3 linked regions of the Rattus norvegicus genome follow. The protein of the gene in region 3 interacts with the protein of the main gene of each other region in a biochemical or structural test. Links are inferred from orthologs where the notes say so. Each region holds a gene or a part of one and is shown on either strand. Other genes may lie near its edges.

Evidence for each region.
Region 1: the proteins of Tert (region 3) and Tpp1 form a complex in vitro, tested with the Homo sapiens proteins (2 studies listed by BioGRID and IntAct). The link is inferred for Rattus norvegicus from reciprocal best matches to the Homo sapiens genes TERT and TPP1.
Region 2: the proteins of Tert (region 3) and Cib1 form a complex in vitro, tested with the Homo sapiens proteins (2 studies listed by BioGRID). The link is inferred for Rattus norvegicus from reciprocal best matches to the Homo sapiens genes TERT and CIB1.

Annotation. Positions count from the first base shown.
Region 1 is NC_086019.1:169,508,194-169,514,387, reverse strand, and holds the end of Tpp1 (tripeptidyl-peptidase 1 precursor), read left to right. Parts: intron 1-308; coding exon 309-459; intron 460-651; coding exon 652-779; intron 780-932; coding exon 933-1,111; intron 1,112-1,224; coding exon 1,225-1,423; intron 1,424-1,555; coding exon 1,556-1,744; intron 1,745-1,972; coding exon 1,973-2,042; intron 2,043-2,790; coding exon 2,791-2,911; intron 2,912-3,033; coding exon 3,034-3,192; intron 3,193-3,369; coding exon 3,370-3,495; intron 3,496-3,668; coding exon 3,669-3,809; 3' UTR 3,810-4,572; downstream 4,573-6,194. UniProt on the Homo sapiens protein: Lysosomal serine protease with tripeptidyl-peptidase I activity. May act as a non-specific lysosomal peptidase which generates tripeptides from the breakdown products produced by lysosomal proteinases. Requires substrates with an unsubstituted N-terminus.
Region 2 is NC_086019.1:143,585,969-143,591,563, forward strand, and holds the end of Cib1 (calcium and integrin-binding protein 1), read right to left. Parts: intron 4,915-5,595; coding exon 4,806-4,914; intron 3,207-4,805; coding exon 3,056-3,206; intron 2,940-3,055; coding exon 2,821-2,939; intron 2,742-2,820; coding exon 2,653-2,741; coding exon of another isoform or gene 2,595-2,652; exon of another isoform or gene 1,859-2,594; coding exon 1,837-1,858; 3' UTR 1,623-1,836; downstream 1-1,622. Other genes in the region: Sema4b (semaphorin-4B precursor), read left to right, coding at 1-164. UniProt on the Homo sapiens protein: Calcium-binding protein that plays a role in the regulation of numerous cellular processes, such as cell differentiation, cell division, cell proliferation, cell migration, thrombosis, angiogenesis, cardiac hypertrophy and apoptosis.
Region 3 is NC_086019.1:31,469,901-31,475,970, forward strand, and holds part of Tert (telomerase reverse transcriptase), read right to left. Parts: coding exon 6,016-6,070; intron 5,290-6,015; coding exon 5,204-5,289; intron 3,167-5,203; coding exon 3,053-3,166; intron 2,790-3,052; coding exon 2,718-2,789; intron 1,283-2,717; coding exon 1,094-1,282; intron 1-1,093. UniProt on the Homo sapiens protein: Telomerase is a ribonucleoprotein enzyme essential for the replication of chromosome termini in most eukaryotes. Active in progenitor and cancer cells. Inactive, or very low activity, in normal somatic cells.

The DNA of each region.
Region 1 (6,194 bases), about 140 Mb from region 3:
ACAAGTATGAAGCTGAGCTAAATTAGAAGGTTCTGTATAATTGACTCAGAAAGTCTGGGAAAATCTTTTTGAAGAGAAGCTTAAAAATGGGACATTTAAAGTTTATTAACCTCCTTGAATTTTTGTGACCGGGGCAATACATGCTGTGCATATTTCCTGGCCATGACATTTCATGTCTCTTCAGCCTTTCTTCCCTTGGACTCCCAATATGCCTAGCACTTGGGGAAGTTTTGATGTCTCCTGATTGACATCCAGACAACCCAGGAAAGCCTGAAATGAAGACAAGATCCCCTTCTGAATCCCTGCAGGAAAGTACCTCACCCTAGAGGATGTAGCTGAGCTGGTCCAACCATCACCACTGACCCTCTGCACTGTCCAAAAGTGGCTCTTGGCAGCTGGAGCCCGGGACTGCCATTCAGTGACCACCCAGGACTTTCTGACTTGCTGGCTGAGTGTCCGGTGAGAAGTAATGATTGCCCCATAGAATCCATTTCCCACCAAGGAGACAAGATACCCCCAAATGGGGGAGTTTAAAGCTTGCTGAGAGCCTGTGGGTATTGCTAATGCGTACAGAGATAATGATTGGGTGGTAAGTAGGGCTCCGGCCAGCTCTACAGCACCTCTCCATGGTTTCTGTTTTCTTACTTCCAGGCAGGCTGAGCTGCTGCTTCCTGGGGCTGAGTTTCATCGCTATGTAGGGGGACCTGCAAAGACCCACATTATAAGGTCCCCACATCCCTATCAGCTCCCCCAGGCCTTGGCCCCTCATGTGGACTTTGGTAAACCCAATGGGGTTGGTGGAGGTTGGGGGTTGGGGGGGGCAGAGCTACAGGCTGAAGAAGTTTAGATAACACAGGAGGCATGGAGTGTTTCCGGTAGTGAAGTGGGTGGTAGTACCTGTGAGACCTCCTTAAGCCTGACCCTTTCCACAGTGGCGGGGCTGCACCGTTTCCCCCCTTTATCATCTCCGAGACAACGTCCAGAGCCACAAGGAGTGGGACCTGTTGGCCTGCACCTGGGAGTGACTCCATCTGTGCTTCGTCAGCGATATAACCTGACAGCCCGAGATGTGGGCTCTGGCACCACCAACAATAGCCAGGCCTGTGCCCAGGTGAGCCATGCAAAACCCTGGGGTCATCACAACCTCTTCAAGATATCTTCAGTGCTTCACTACCCTGGGCCTCACTCTCTGATCTACAACTCCTGATTTGGATGTTTCCACAGTTCCTGGAACAGTACTTCCATAACTCGGATCTGACTGAGTTCATGCGCCTGTTTGGTAGCAGTTTTGCACACCAGGCCTCAGTAGCAAGAGTGGTTGGAAAGCAGGGGCGAGGCCGAGCGGGCATCGAGGCCAGTCTAGATGTGGAATACCTGATGAGTGCTGGTGCCAATATCTCCACTTGGGTCTACAGTAGCCCTGGTATTGCAAAGTTGGGGGATGGGAAAATGGGTTGGAGTAGACTGCTGATAGCTGCTTCATTTTATCAAGGGGACGCCATGGGCTGGCAACCATCCAATGACCACTCCTATCCCTTCTTTTAAAACAATTCAGGCCGCCATGAGGCACAGGAGCCCTTCTTACAATGGCTCCTGCTTCTTAGCAATGAGTCATCCTTGCCGCATGTACATACTGTGAGTTACGGAGACGATGAAGACTCCCTCAGCAGTGTCTACATCCAGAGAGTCAACACTGAGTTCATGAAGGCTGCTGCTCGGGGTCTCACCCTCCTTTTTGCCTCAGGTAACCTCCTACCATAAAATTAAGACATCCCACCTACCAAGCAGCAGGCTTTATCCCAGCTGACCCTTCAACCTGGTTTCTGACTCATAATAGGAACTCAGTCTTAGCAGGGTCTACTGACATGACCTGAGATCTGTGAGGTGGCATATACATTTCTTCTCGGGTATATATAAGCCTACACCCCAAGCTCTTCCCATCTGATCTGAATACTTAATATGTCTTTCCCAGGTGACACTGGAGCTGGGTGTTGGTCTGTCTCCGGAAGACACAAGTTCCGTCCTAGCTTCCCTGCTTCTAGGTAAGTACCCCACTCTTTCATGTGTGACTTTGATGCCACCAGGAGCTGCTATGGCTCAGCCTTCAGCATTACCTGTTGGGGTTCCTGTGCTCCCTTCCCTTTTCTTCCTGTATATCCCAGGCTGTGACAGCAGAATATGTTGTTTTGTTCCCTTAGTTGTTAGGGTTTGGTTTTTAGGCAGAAAAGTATATACAATTAATTCCAGCCATGTCTTGAAGGCATCCAGTCTGTCGGTACACAGGCTCCCATAGTCTTACTCTCCTTTCCAGTAAGACCCAGACCGTACCCACTCACCTCCACACATCTTGGACATCACCCATTGTCTTAGTCAGAGTTTTATTGCTGTGATGAAACACCATGACAAAAAAAGCAAGTTGGGGAGGAAAGGGTTTATTTGGCTTACACTTCCAGATCACAATCCATCATTGGAGGAAGTCAGGACAGGAACTCAAGCAGGGCTGGAACCTGGAAACAGGAAACAGGAGCTGATGTGAGGCCATGGAGATTACCGGCTTGATCCTCATGGCTTGCTCAGCCTGCCTTCTGATAGAACCCAGGACCACCAGCCCAGGGATGTCACTCTCCACAGTGGGCTGGGCCCTCCCTCATTGATCGCTAAGAAAATGCCCTATGGCTGGATCTCATGGAGGCATTTCCTCAATTGAGCCTCCTTCATCACTTAGATCTTTGTATCACACAAAACCAACCAGCCAGTACACCCGCTATCTGAATGCTGTCTTCTCCTTAGCCCCTATGTCACTACAGTAGGAGGAACCTCCTTCAAGAATCCTTTCCTTGTCACAAATGAAGTAGTTGACTATATCAGTGGTGGAGGCTTCAGCAATGTTTTCCCACAGCCTTCATACCAGGTTTGTGGATATTCCTATGGATTTGTGGAGGTTGAGGGTTGGTGGTCAGGGGAATTGTCCTCAGTTCAGCGGCTTGCTGAGCAGACTTCTGGCCAACGCTCACACTCAGAAATGTCCTTCAGGAGGAAGCAGTAGCCCAGTTCTTGAAGTCCAGCTCTCATCTACCACCATCTAGTTACTTCAATGCTAGTGGCCGTGCTTACCCAGATGTTGCCGCGCTTTCTGATGGCTACTGGGTGGTCAGCAACATGGTCCCCATTCCGTGGGTATCTGGAACCTCGGTGAGCATCAGCTTTGCTGTAAACCCTCTACTCAGGAACTACCCTCGCTCCTCCATCTACAAAATCTTGAACCCAGAACCCCTGACTCCTCAGAGACTTCTGATCTTTGCAAGCATCATCCCTCAGAAGTCTAATCCCGCTAAAACCCTGACCTATTTTTGCATCTTCATCTTGCAGGCCTCTACTCCAGTGTTTGGGGGAATTTTATCCTTGATAAATGAGCACAGACTCCTCAATGGCCGCCCCCCTCTAGGCTTTCTCAATCCCAGGCTCTATCAGCAGCATGGGGCAGGACTCTTTGATGTAAGTGTTGGAGGAAAGAGGGTGGATATTGTCATAGGATATGAGAAGGGCTACCATGGACTTGGGGTGCTTTTACTATATGGGATTGCCTCCGTGACATGAATATGAATAAGGTGCAGTCTAGGAGTACTGGTACCAGCAGGCCCAGGTCTGATGCCACCATCTCCTCCCAGGTAACCCATGGCTGCCATGAGTCCTGTCTGAATGAAGAAGTGGAGGGTCAGGGTTTCTGCTCTGGTCCTGGCTGGGATCCTGTGACAGGTTGGGGAACACCCAACTTCCCAGCCCTACTGAAGACTCTACTCAACCCTTGACCCTTCCCTGCCCTGACGAGAAAGCAGAACTGTTTCCTGTACTACAAGGGAAGGCTCAGTTTCTCGTTATTCCTCAATGGAAGCCCTGATGAACTCTTAACTGTTGCCTGCTGCAGATAGCTTCTCCCTAACCCTCAAATGCTGTGAGCAGGACTGGACTCCCAACCCTGTGAGCCATCAAACTCAGGTCTCCAAACTTCTACTTCGAGATCCCCAACAAGATGCTATAACCAGCATTTTGTCTCACCCCAACCCCATCTCTCCTTCCTCTTTCCAGCTTGAGATGTGAAAGCAGGGCGAGAAGATTCAGTCTGCATTACTGACACCAGCAGTCCCACCTAATGCTTACCACCTCTGCACTGACCGTATGCTCTTTCTCTTCCAGCTGCTTCTTCGTTCACTGAAATGAGACCTTTGTGCTAATCGTTTAGTCTTTCTTCCCCTGGCACTGAAGTGCAATGGTCTCCCTGACATTCTATCCAGTTATACACTTCTCAGTGTTTTATGGGCTTTCTTGTTTAAGAACAGGTTGGTGATGGGTTGGGGATTTAGCTCAGTGGTAGAGCGCTTGCCTAGGAAGCGCAAGGCCCTGGGTTCGGTCCCCAGCTCCGAAAAAAAGAACCAAAAAAAAAAAAAAGAACAGGTTGGTGACAATCTATATAACTATTCTAAGGAAAGTTCAAGTTTGAAAATTTTAAATGTTTTAAATGTTCTTATTGGCAAAGCTCCTCAACAAAATAAATAGGTGTTACAAATTTTGCTTTAAATTTTTGCTTCAGTGATTTTTTTTTTTGTAAATTATTTGTAAATTTACATTTTATTTTCCCCTTCTTGGCTACACCAAAGCAGCATTCAGGTTTTAATTTCAACTGTCAGACATTCACAAACATCTAGCTTCTGTGAACCTGGGTGTTCGTTCTTTCCGTCAGTTTCCCATTCCTTTTTTGCTCAGTGTATACCCCCTTTGACCACACTAACTGTCCTCCTTTTCAACTAATTATGGGATGCTGGTGTTCATTGTTCCATCCGTAGGTTTTTACTCATATTTTATTAACATCCCTTGATAGATCACTGACATCTCAAATGTAAGATACCTCATTACTTCATCTCCCTCCAGCCCAGACCTAAACTATTTCATCTCTTAGTCTGTGATATAATGCCTCTTTCAAACAAGCCAGAAACCTGTAACTCTTAATTTTCATTTTTTTTCACCTCCCTACTAACTTCAACAAGTTTTACTGACTACTTCTCCAGATATGTCTTTATCAGCTAGCGTGGTGATGCTCACCTTTAATCCCAGCACTTAGGAGGCAGAGACCAGGCAAGCCTCTCTGAGTCCATCCTGGTCTATACAAAGAGTTCCAGGCATGCCAGGCCTACGTGAGACCATGTCTCGAAAATACACAAACGTGCGTGCACGCGCGCGCGCGCGCGCGCGCACGCACACACACACACACACACACACACACACACACACACTACTGCATTATCTTTGAGCCCATGTCCTTTTTCCTCTAAACTGCAGGAAGTACTTGGGTAGGGGAGAGCCTTCCAAAGCCCCTCAGCATCCTTGACCATGGGTAAGTCATCTTCTAAACCAAACAGTATATTTATTTGTGCAAACCCTTCAAAGATTACTGGGTAAAAGTCAGGGACATTGAAACCTGCCTTCAAAATTGGGAAATAAACATTGCTAATGTCTGACACTTGGAATTAAGCAGCTGATGTTAGTTCCCTACTTCCTTGCACTCCACCTACGTGTATCTGGGAAACAACCATACAGTATTAAAATTGTCTGCCTTCCTTTTCCAGAGCTTGGTGCTAGTGAACTAGAATCTGATTCTTAACTTTGTATTCCTAGGTCCCAACCCTGTAGTTGGCAAATAGAAATTAAATAAATGACTGTTGAATTGCTAATGTGCTTCACATGTGACTTTGGCATGTTATTTCTTCGGGGTGAAACACCTATCTCTACATTTACAGCAGCACGCTTCTAGGACCGTTGTGGGTGGGAGGGACACACACCAAATCCACTAAAATCCTTAAAGACAGTGAAAGGGAGCGACAAAGAATGAAGACTGTTAAGGAGACTGGTAATGAAGTATCTGACATATGAGTCCCCAAGTCAAATCTGCGCACCCAGATGAAATGAAGTGTGCAGTCCTGGATTCTTCGCGGTCCCATCTGGGCAGGGTTGAGCCGCAGGGTGGAGGCTAGGTCTTTCACAGTTTACCTCTGCCAGTCTACACCTAATCTGCCAACAGCCAACCTAAGGTCGCCCGCGGCGGACTAAAGCGGTGGGGCGGGAACTGTGACGTCACGCAACGTGCGCCTGGGCGAGCGGAAGCGGAAGTAGCTCTGGTTGCCGCCTTTCCCACCAGCCCC
Region 2 (5,595 bases), about 110 Mb from region 3:
ACCGAGGCTACCAGGCTCTGTCGGATAGCTCCCCAGGGCCCCGAGTCTTTACTGAGTCAGAGAAGAGGCCACTGAGTATCCAGGACAGCTTTGTGGAGGTGTCTCCTGTGTGTCCCCGGCCCCGAGTTCGACTGGGCTCTGAGATCCGAGACTCTGTGGTATGAGAACTGACTTTAGATGTAGCCACCCTGACCTCAGGGGCTGTGAATGTTCAGTGGAGGTCAGCTACCTCTGCTGTCACAGAACACAACCATGGTACCCTGCCTGGGAGGCAGCTGGTATCACAGCACCAACAGCCTGGCCAGCCGGTTCCAATGTCTGGCCGAAAAGGGCTGCCTCCAGGGGCCAGAGGGTCCCTGTCTGGATGGCAGAACTCTGCTACTTAACTGAGCCCTTTGTTTAAAACTGCAAATGTGAAGCCAGAGAGAGAGGAAGGAGAGATAGATAAGGAAGACTGTACGGCACAGCCACTCCAATTCAGCCTGCTGGGCTCTTGGGGACTTCTCTGAAGTGGCTTTGTGAGCTGGAGTTGGGAATCCCTCCCCCACTGGACTATTCATTCTACCTTCCGCCTTACTCCGCTGCTGAGGCCACTGCAGAATCAGGGCCCTGCTCCAGCTTCAGCCAACCAAGGACATGTCTGTGACCGCTGACACCCCACCACCTCAGGGACTAGAGGGCTAGGCTGGCTCTGCAGCCCTCCTCACCAGACCCTGGGCTCAGTCCCAGTTCCCAGACTTCTCCAGCCTGTATCAGGCTGTGGCCTGGAAAGCAAGGGAGTGACCCCAGGGGGCGTTGTGACAGAAGACTGTTGCCTGCTGTCCTTTTCCCAGTTGAGGAACTGTGTCGCCACCCACCTCATCAGCCCTGTTTTCTAATTCCAACACAGACTTCTGGATCCTCCCTGTTCCCTGTCCTAGCTCACCATGCCCTTGCCCACCACTCTAAGGGATACTGACACTGCCCATCACGAGGACCCTGAATTTACATGGGTTTTGTATTTTTTTTTTAATAAGATGCACTTTACTTTCTTTTTTTTTTTAAATAAAGTCCAGCAAATTATAGTTAACTGTGGCCCAGACTCTTGAAGAACTTCGCTTTGTGTGTGTGTAACATGAATGCATGTGTGTGTACATGTGGAGACCAGAGGCTCTCCTTAGGTACCATCCTTAGGAACTGCCTTGTCAGACAGGGTCTCATTAAGCATTCACCCTGAGGATAGAGTGGCTAGCTAGTAAGCCCAGGGATCCTCCTGTCTCTGCCTCCCCAGCATTGGGACTTAAGGACTGAGGTCCTCAAGCTTGTGAGGCAGATACTTGACTAAGTAAGCTATCTCCCCAGCCTGGCGCCGGGTTTTATCTGTCTGGGAGTTCTTCCCTGGTAGAGTGTGGCCTTACCAAGATGAATTCCCTTCCTTTGCACCCAGTTCAGGGTACTGGACAGGATTTTTTTTTTTTTTTACTCTCTAGTGTTTTAAGTTTTCAGATGATATGGGAAAACTGACCTCTCTTTGGTGAACCATTCTGTAAGTTCCCACACATGTGGAAATGAACTTGAGTGTCTCCGACGTGGGGATGATCACAGGCTCCTACAAGTCCAGTCCTGCTGCTACTGTCATACAAGGAAGTCAAACATTTCTAAACCTTTATTACCAATTAGTAAAAACAGTGATGGCAACAGCAGTGACAAGGGGGAGAGTCCTCCCCTGCCAGGGGGCCAGACTCTGCAGCGCCCTCTCCAGGCTGGGCCGGCTCTGGCCCTGACACCGCAGGCATAACCTTGGCCACATCTCAGCAGTGGAAAGGTCTTGGACAGGATGTTGGTACTTGAAAGCCATCACAGGACAATCTTAAAGGAGCTGCACAAGGGAAGAGTGAGTTGGCTTTGGCCTTTTGGTTTGGTTCTGGGGATCGAACCCAGGGCCTGACACCTTTTAAACATGCACACTCCACCACTGCTAGATCCCAGCGCAGGGGTTTTCTGATCGAAAGGGGTGGTACAGACCTGACTAATCACACCCATTTCTTTCCCCCTGAAGCAAGTTCTGGCTGGTATGGAATTCACTGTAGACCAAGCTGGTCTTGAATAGGCACCAAGTCTGCCTTTGCCTTCTGTGTGCTGGGATTACAGACCTGCACCACCACAGCCAAGATTCCTTTGAGGAGCTGGACATAGGTGTCAGTGTTGTGCCTGCACAACAGGTTTGAAACTGTTCAATTCTTGGTACCACAAAACTAGACATTCCAGGTAGAGGAAAGGAAACCAGAGGTCCAAAATCCCAGGCTGGGTGTGGTGGTGCATTCCTTCTATATCAGTAATGGGGAGGCAGAGGCAGGTGGAATTTAAGGTCAGTCTCAGCAACATAAAATCCTGTCTGAAAAAAACAAAACTGGGGCTGGAGAGATGGCTCAAAGGTTGAGAGCACTGACTGCTCTTCCAGGGGTTCTGAGTTCAAATCCCAGCTCACGACCATCTGTAATGAGATCTGATGCCCTCTTCTGGTGTTCTGAAGACAGCTACAGTGTACTCACATAAATAAATAAATAAATGGAGTGGGCTGGGTCCCCTCTGAAAGAATATCCTGAACCATCCCTCTAATACCATCCCAGAGTAGATAGATGGGTACTCAGAATGCAGGCGCTCCTGTCACACCTGGCAAAGTCTGGTGAGCGAGAGATGACGTGCTGGAACTCGGAGAGATTGATGGTCCCATCCCTGTCAATGTCCGACTCTTCCAGGATCTGGGGAAAGGAGGGCTTTAGGCTTCAGCTCCAACCCTTCCCACCCAACACCCGCAGCCTAGCGAAAAGCTCAGCTCACATTGTCGATGAGCTGCTTCATCTCAGAAGCACTGAGCCGAGTGTCCTCGCCCTCTCCCGTGAGGCAGTTCACAAGCCGGCTCAGGTCTTCTCTGTCCAGGGTTCCATCATCATCAAAGTCTAGGCAGCAGACACAGGGAGCACCAAGGACATGCTCAGAGGCAGTCCCCAGGCACGCACCCGCCCTCACTTCCTGTGTGGGAAGGAGTGGATCCAGTAGTTTTCACAGTGCTTACCAAAGATGCGGAAGGCATAGTGTGACTTGATGTCTGGGGTTGCTGTGTCACTGAAGACACTCAGGAGGTCCAGGAAGTCCTCAAAGCTCAGGCTGTCTCTGGTAGGCGACGTGGAGAAGACCATGCAGATTCGCTCCTTGAAGGGGTTGGCCTACATAAGAATGCCTTCTGTGAACATCACAGGACCAGGTCTGGGTTACTCAGCCAGCTCAACTGGAGACTTCTTTTGAGGAAGGATCTCATAAACCCAGGCTGGCCTCAAACTCCTGATCCTCCTGCCTCTACCTCCCAGATACTGAATTACAGGTGTGCACCAGCACACCTGATTCCCTTCTGGAAACTTGAGGAGCTCAGGCTTGGAGGGGAGGCTTTGAGACCAGGACATGGAGGGCACTAAAGGGCCACTAAGCCAGCCAGGGAAGGCACAGAGGCTCCTGGGAGTCTAACTAGACACGACACAAGTAGACTCACAGCTGGAAGAGGAGCTGATTACATGTGAGCACATGCCACTACACACGAGGGGAAATCAAGGGCAACTTTACATAGACAATTTCCTTCTCCTGCCATAGGTCCCAATGATCAAACCTAGGTCATCAGGACTACTAGGCGAGTGTTTCGTTTTCTTCTAAGTCTGGATCTACAGACCAGGCTGGTCTCAAACTCAGAAATCACCTGCCTCTGCCTCCCAAGTGCTGGGATTGAAGGTGTGCACCGCCACCACCCCCTGGCCCAAGGCAAGTGTTTTATCTGCTAACCTGCTCGGCTGGACCACTGGTCATTTTTAAATATACTTAACTCGGGATTATTTTGTTACAGTCAGGCTCTTTTCGGAAGAATCGCAGACAAGTGTTATGATGCATGTTCTCATTCTAGCACCGAGGAGGCAAAGGCAGGTGGATCTAAGAATTCAACGAGAGCCCGGTTTACACAGCAAGTTCCAGCCAGGCCATCCAGGGCTCCACAATGAGAACCTGTCTCAAAATAACAATTATAAGCCAGGCGATGGTGGCACATGCCTTTAACCTCAGGCAGATCTTTGAGTTTGAGGCAGCCTGGTCTACAAAGCTAGTTCCAGGACAGCTAGGGATACACAGAGAAACCCTGTCTTGGAAAAAACAACAACTATAATTATGATTGGTGTTGTTTTTTTATTATTATTATTATTATTATTATTATTATTATTATTATTAACAGCAAGCAATCCTGGTGCTCACATGGTAGGGAAAGGAGGATTGAAGCAAGTTCAAGGTCAGTCAAGGCTATGTAGTAAAAGCCCACATCAGAAAAAGAAAATGGGGGTTGGGGATTTAGCTCAGTGGTAGAGCGCTTGCCTAGCAAGTGGAAGGCCCTGGGTTCAGTCCTCAGCTCTGGAAAAAAAAAAAAAAGAAAAAGAAAATGGCCAGTTAGCTCAGCCGGTAAATATAAAGGCTTGCATTCAATCCTCAGAACCACTGTTTTTAAAGGGGAAGAGTGGGCTGAAGAGATGACTCGGTGATGAAAAGCCCATTCGCTTCCGCAGAGGACCCTAGTTCAGTCTCTAGCACAACTGCCTATAACCCCAGCACCAGGGGTTCCTTGCCTTCTGTACTCCACAAGCACCAGCACTTACATGTGTCCACATCCCACACAATTACACGCCATCATCATCAAAAGAAAACCCCCAGGGAGTGGTGGCATGTGCTCACAATCACAGGGGAGACTTAGGGAACGCAGCAGATAGTGGGTGGATAAAGTGGGTAGAGGACTGAACCTTGAGCTCTGGAAGGCTGAGGATCTGCTCAAAAGATACTCGGGTATGCAGTGACTCTTCCACGGTCCGATGCTCTGGGGGAAGCAACTCGCAAAAGCGTCTGTGGGCACTGGCAGAGAGAGGGGAACTTATTGGTGTGGGCACTGGCAGAGGGGAAATTATTGGTGTCCTCAAGCAGTATTCCCTGTATCTACTACATCCCCATTCTGCATACCAGCTGTGAAATTAAGTCGCATACTGGGGATTTCCAGTCATTGGGCAATCTTTAGCCAAAGAGAGGCAAGTCACAAAACAGCAGAGGCTTGGAGTCCCTTCTTAGGGTTGGTATTTACAAAGAACTTAACCTGTCTCTGCAGACACTGTATCTGAAGGGTCTCTGGCTAGCTGGAGCTTGGTGAGCACAGCTCTGGCCGGCCTTGCTCCCTCTGCAAGGCCCAATTCCTTCTACCTTGCTACTAACCTACATTCCTAAAGCTAATCCCCAAGATCTATTTCCTCATTTGGCCACTTCCTCCTCCTGAGACTGACTACCAAGGTCCAGCTGTCAAAGTGCTGAAGTCCAGCCATCACAAGCCTCCTTTGACTCACCTAGTTAACAAGCCCACTAAAAATTCAGCACCTCATCCTAACATGGGTTTCCCCCTTGTACCTTTATAAATTGTCATTTTCCTATGAGCCACGTCTGTCTCCTCTATCCAGAGGCAGTCCTTTGACCCCTTGCCCCTCTCCCTTGTTCCCTTCCCCTTCTTCCTGTCCTCTATCTCCTGTCTATGTCTCTTATTCCCTGTCC
Region 3 (6,070 bases):
TGAGGTGCATGCCTGTGCGTGTGGGTGGAGGAAGAGGTTTCCCACTCCGTGACACTCCACGGTGCTGTCAGCTCTCTTCACACTTTGCATGAAAGCTGTGGTTTGGGGAGAAGAAACTCCCATCACTGTGTTTTCCCTTTAGGATGTTGCTAGCCACTTTGGCTGACCTCCAGATGCATTGTCCCTGGCTCCGGCAGAAGGATACTGAGCTCGGCTGATGCACCCACACCAAAAGCTCAGGCTGAGCTCACAGCCACACTTAACATGGACTCTGGAAACAGGGCCCTTATGGTCTACATATGGTCGCTAATGGCCCCTGTCCAGGGCCCGCCTGGCTTCCTATAAGGGTGTGTGGTTTTCAGACTCTAGCAGTATGTTCAGAGGGGAATTCTTCTTCGATTGATTTACCCATGACTCTGTAACACTGAAGAGTACCAGGGGCTGGGGCAGGTACACTGGCGAGCTCAGCACTAGGCTGGGGCTGGGGCAACAAAGGTGGGTCTGGGAGGCAGAGGGTGGAGTCAAGAAATCTGAACTGAGTCCCATGGACTGAGGCTGAGGAGCCCAGGCCTGCGAGAGCACGGTACAGACGGCTTATCTGCACCCAACCCTTCCCTTAGAATGGGACCCTCCAAAGAACACAATGGAGATGGGGAGTCTGAGCATAGAATGGACAGCTGTCAAGATGGTGGGTTGCCAGGCTCCTGCCGTAATGTCAGAATCTTCATACTCTTCACTCATAAGAAGAAATGGTCCAACTCTTTTCACCTGTGCCTATCCCAAATCTGTCATATCTACATTGAGCTACAATCTGGGTTGTGAGCTCTTGGTAGGTGGAGACCAACACCCACCCCCTCCCCGCCCCTTATACTTCATATAGAGGAACATCTTGGCTCCATGGTCTGCAGGAGCCTTGGGACAAGGCTGAAGATGTTCTTATATTGGCCGTGACCATCTCCACAAAGGAGGGAAACACCTTTCGGCCTCTATCACTTCAGGCCTCACGGTCACTTGTGTCTAAAAGCAGGAAACAGAAAGTCGTAGCCACAGCACCGTCTGCTCCCATGACCTCATGACTCCCCTGTGTGCTTACCCTGAGTAGTCACAGAATACTTCCAAAGTCCGAGTGTCCAGCAGTAAGCCACACCAGGGAAACAGGCAGTGAGCAGGCAGCTGGTGCGGGGCTGCACCTCCCAGGGCGCCGGTCTCCACAGGGAAGTTCACCACTGTCTTCTGCAAGTTTATCATGCAGCCATACTCGGGCACGCCATGGACCAGGGTGCTGAAACAAGAGAAGGAACATCGGTTATGGGAGCCTGGAGGCACCCAGCACATGCCACAGAAGTTCTCAGAGGTGCTCTGTGACGCGAGAGAGCAGATGCTTGTGGGTACCGTGATGGAACACCAGACACTCTTGCTCTAGACTGCAGCCTAGCCCCCGTCTTCATTGTAAAGCAGTGGAGCAATAAGGCTATAAGCCAGGCCTCAGACAAGTGGAAAGTTTCCCATGACTCTGTGGGTCAGATCTTAGCAATCACGTAGCAAAACATCCCCTCCCTACTACCCCCAAAGCCTCTTTTCTTGTAGCTACTTTGGGATGCTTGTCGATGCGCAATGCTTCTCCTTATCAGCAAGTACTAATCAATAGACTGCTTCCTTGCGGACAGACCTTCCCGGGAAGTTGGACTTATTAAATAAACATTGGTGTTCTGAGGTGTGGCTTTTGCATCAGGAGCGGTCTTTTTTCTTACATAATATTCATACTAGTGGGTTATAGTGTGTATTCCAGGCTGTGTTTGCAGTATGTACGCTAGCCCAGGGTTTCGGGCACACCTGCTTGTAAAGTTAATTTCTGTGGCTCAAACTAGAATCAGGTACTATGGCCTTACTTCAGAGCAGTGACCTTACATTGAGGTCCCTCAGGCACTGGGATGCTTGTAGGCTTCTCTTTACTGACAAGAGATGAGAAACTGAAAGTGGTTAATGAAACTGAGCCCTAAGAAGTTGTCACCACTGAGGTACTGGTGTTTCCAGTGCTCTGTGCAGGCTGCATGCACTTGTAGTACAGGGTCCCAGAGCCCAATTGGTCATCCTTATCAAAGTCAGTAAGCCACCCCCAATGAAGGCCCCACCACATCTGTGGCACTTAGGAACTAAATGGCCTATAGGCAGTGGCCACTGGGACAGAGGACGCTGCTCCTGTTGAGGAAATTTCCAGAAGCCAGTTTTGCCCCTAAGACCTTGTCAGGGAAATGTCAGGATGTCCTGGATGAATATCAGGACAACCGGGAGGGGCTGCTAGGTGGGGTTGTCCATGGACACCTGTAGGACAGAGTTACTGCAGGGGCTCACCAGTCACAAGAATATAGAGTGCACAGGCAGTGGATAGCACATCAAGTAGCCACACTCATGGTACGGGGGGAGCCAGATGGCTGCTGTGAGTTGACCTTGGGGGATAGACCAGGCCAGACCAGTCACAGGTGTCAGACTCTCTCCCTCGGTGCTGCAGGTGTCCCACGCCTGGCTGCACAGGTGCGGTGCCTCTGCCACTTTGTAGAGATGCCACTAGGTTTTGGTGACTATATGAGCTCCAGGCATGCAGAACTACTAACCAGTTAAATTTGCTGCCTCAGCACGTTTATATCTTATGCAGATATATGTACATACATACTTCTATCTTGATCACACAGCAGAAACCCAGGCATGATGGTCCTTACCTGAGAAAGGCTTTTGCATGGGCCAGGTGAGGTGTCACCAACAGAAAGTCATCGACAAAACGTAAAAGCAAGCTAAAAAAAAGACAGACACACCAAGAGGTCTCACAGAACGCCCACCTTCAAGTGAGCCACCCTATAACACTATAAGTACAGGAATGCATGGAGGCAAAGCAAAGTGATTCTTCAAAAGAAGGGAATGACAGTTTCCCTGTCCTAACAGCGATGGCTCTGGTACGCCTCATGGCTTCTCACAAAGCGAAGGCACCTGAGCGTACAGCAACAGCGACACCCACTCGGCAACCCAGCCCCTGTGAGCAGTAAAAGGAAGCACTTACCCGTCCTGCTGCACCTCGGCAAACAGCTTGTTCTCCATGTCTCCGAAACACAGACTGCAGAGCAGGGTGGACAGGCTGGAGCCCTGGGGGATGCCCTGGCATTGCACATAGAACCTGGTGGTATTGGTGACAGTTATGGTCAGAAGGAGCAGCCACGGTGGGTCTCACACCTGTACCTGACACCCCTCCCCATGCATGCATGGGTAAACAGACACCATTCAGTGAGCATGCTCACAGGTCACATATACAACAGTGGTATCTACCACCGTCAGCTGCTGAGACCTAAGAAGATAACCCTTATCTCTTCCCTTTCCCACTCTTCCGCTACAACCTGGGGTGGTGCGGACCACAGCCCTGCCCACTGACTCCACGGCGTTCCTAAATTTTATACAAGAATGACAAGCAATCAGCCTCCTGAATGGAAAATTTATCTGGGACAATTCATAACAGGTTATTACGGAAGGAATATTCTTGGTGACAGCCGTGTTAAAAAAGTTAGTGCCTTCTCAGAGAACACAATGGAACCAAACTGACAGACATGCAGGTACAGACACACAGGTGCTGGCAGGGGTGGGTGTTATCAGATGGTCAGGACAAGGAGGTCACCCAGGGAGGCACCCCTCACATTTACGAGAGTAACCGTCAGGAAGCTCCGAGGCCCTGTGCACATGGACATAGACTCATGAATCTGTGCTTACTACAGATGGACTCTGGAGCTCCCTTGGCTGTGAAAAGACACTCGGTTGCATGCTTGTAGCGTCCCAGCATGCTCATTGAACATTTCCAATTACATCCTAACACATATTGTGACTTCAGATAATCAGATATTCCTTGTCCTGCCTGACTCCATCTCTAATAACCCTCGGATTCTGTTCTGCATGGGCACTCATGGTGGGTTTCTGTCAGCTCAGCAAAAAGGAGCCAAGTACACTGTACCAGTCTCCAGGTGAGGGAGGACTTTGGGTGCAGAAGGTGTAACCAACTGCTCGAGCACTCAACCTCACATCTGATCCAGACACACCAGACAGGCCTTTGCGGGCTGGTGGGCAGCTCCAGCCCAGAGCGACTTTGCTCTCTTCACCCTAGCAGTGCTTTTTAAAAGAGTACCTGTTTGTTCTTTTTTTCTCCTGGAAAATGGGTTATAAGCTTAATTAGTTTACAGTGTGTTCCATATTTTGTAAATGTTACATTACAGAGTATCTTAGTCAGGGTTTCTATTCCTGCACAAACATGACCAAGAAGCAAGTTGGGGAGGAAAGGGTTTATTCAGCTTACACTTCCACATTGCTGTTCATCACCAAAGGAAGTCAGGACTAGAACTCTAGCGGTTCAGGAAGCAGGAGCTGATCAGAGGCCATGGAGGGATGTTACTCACTGGCTTACTTGTTCTGGCTTGCTCAGCTTGCTCTCTTATAGAATCCAAGACTACCAGCCCAGGGATGGCACCACCCACAATGGCCTGGGTCCTCCCCACCTTGAGGACCACTAGTTGAGAAAATGCCTTACAGCTGGGTCTCATGAAGGCATTTCCACAACCAAGGCTCCTTTTCTGTGATAACTGCAGCTTGTGTCAAGTGGACACACAAAACCAGCCAGTACACGAGCCTCTGAGTTCTATCGTCGAAAGCCCTTTACTGCGTCTAGGTGCATTTGTGTCAGTATGTGTGTTTACAGAACTACACACGCCAAGCCATTCTGCACCTCTGTCATAAAGCCAAATTGTTTGTGGAAAAGAATAAAAAAAAAAAAGAGTGCCTGGTCTGGCTTGTAACTCATGGTAGTCTTGGGCGGACTCAGTCCCGGGCACTGTTCTCTCTTCTTTGGTGATCCATGTGCCCCATGCCTGGCTGCACAGGTGAGGTGACACTGACAAAATGGCAACATGAGCTCGAGGCACACAAAATCATTAACTTCACTGGACTCTTGCTTATCCCGGGGCTCCTAAGGTCTCATAGGTAGGCAGCTCTGTGGCCCAAAAGCCAGCAGAAGGGCAAGGCAGGGAGGGAGGAATGAGGAGGAGGCAGTCACTCGAGAGTTCTAGGTGCTGTGGCCAGTCAGCACGCACCCTGCTCAGCAGCCAGCGTAGCCCCTACCTACCTGTACCTGTCCTGCCTCCGCCACTCTGCCCACTTGCCCCATGTCTGGGCCTACCTGCCATCGATCTTCACGACACTGTGACGGACAAAGCGCAGGAAGAAGTGGAGCAGGCTACTGCCAGTCTCATTCATGGAGATGCTCTAGAAAAGCAGACAGACTGGCATGAGGACGCTGAATGCTGCACCAGGCCGTCACCGAGTGTGTATGATAAAGTCAGCGTGGAGCCAGGGTTAAGAGTCACTGAATGGCTAGGTTGGACCTGACTCAGTGTGACAGGATATGCAGCTTACAGAGCAGGGAGGTAAACTTGTCCATTCCCACAGCACTAGGTCTGGAACCTTAGCTCACACAGTACCCCTGAAGAGCCAGGAGGCAATCATCCAAACGTCTCAGTGAGCATGGCTGCCCCACAGGTAGAATATGTATCAAAGAAGGCTCTATAGAACCACTGGTTTGTGTGGGAGGAGATCTCTGGTGTGTGGCTTATGGAAACACAGCTTCTGACGTAATGGGACCAAGATGGGGAACACAGGTCAAGTCTAACGCGTCCTCTAGGAGCGGGTGAACTGTCCTATGGTTGCCAGGTCGAAATTGAGGAAGGAGATATTTTTACCAGTTCACCGGTGGAACACCTGGGGTAGGGGAGACAAGAGGGTGGGAAGGGCACCTCAAAGCAACTCTTAGCATGGCCACCTAAGTTGGAGGGTTCTGGTTATGTCATGAGGACTGCTACCAGTCCTGCTACCCTTGTTCATGGGACCCACTACCAAGAAGCACATCAGCCACATCCCTGCACTGAAGCAAACAGCCAAGTAAAGCTGGAAGGTTCCCCCCAGGGGTGGCTTGTTAATAGGAAGTCTGAGGACCTGCTCGATGACAACAGAGTTCCTCAGTGCACTGGCATCTGAGTCCTGCAGATGC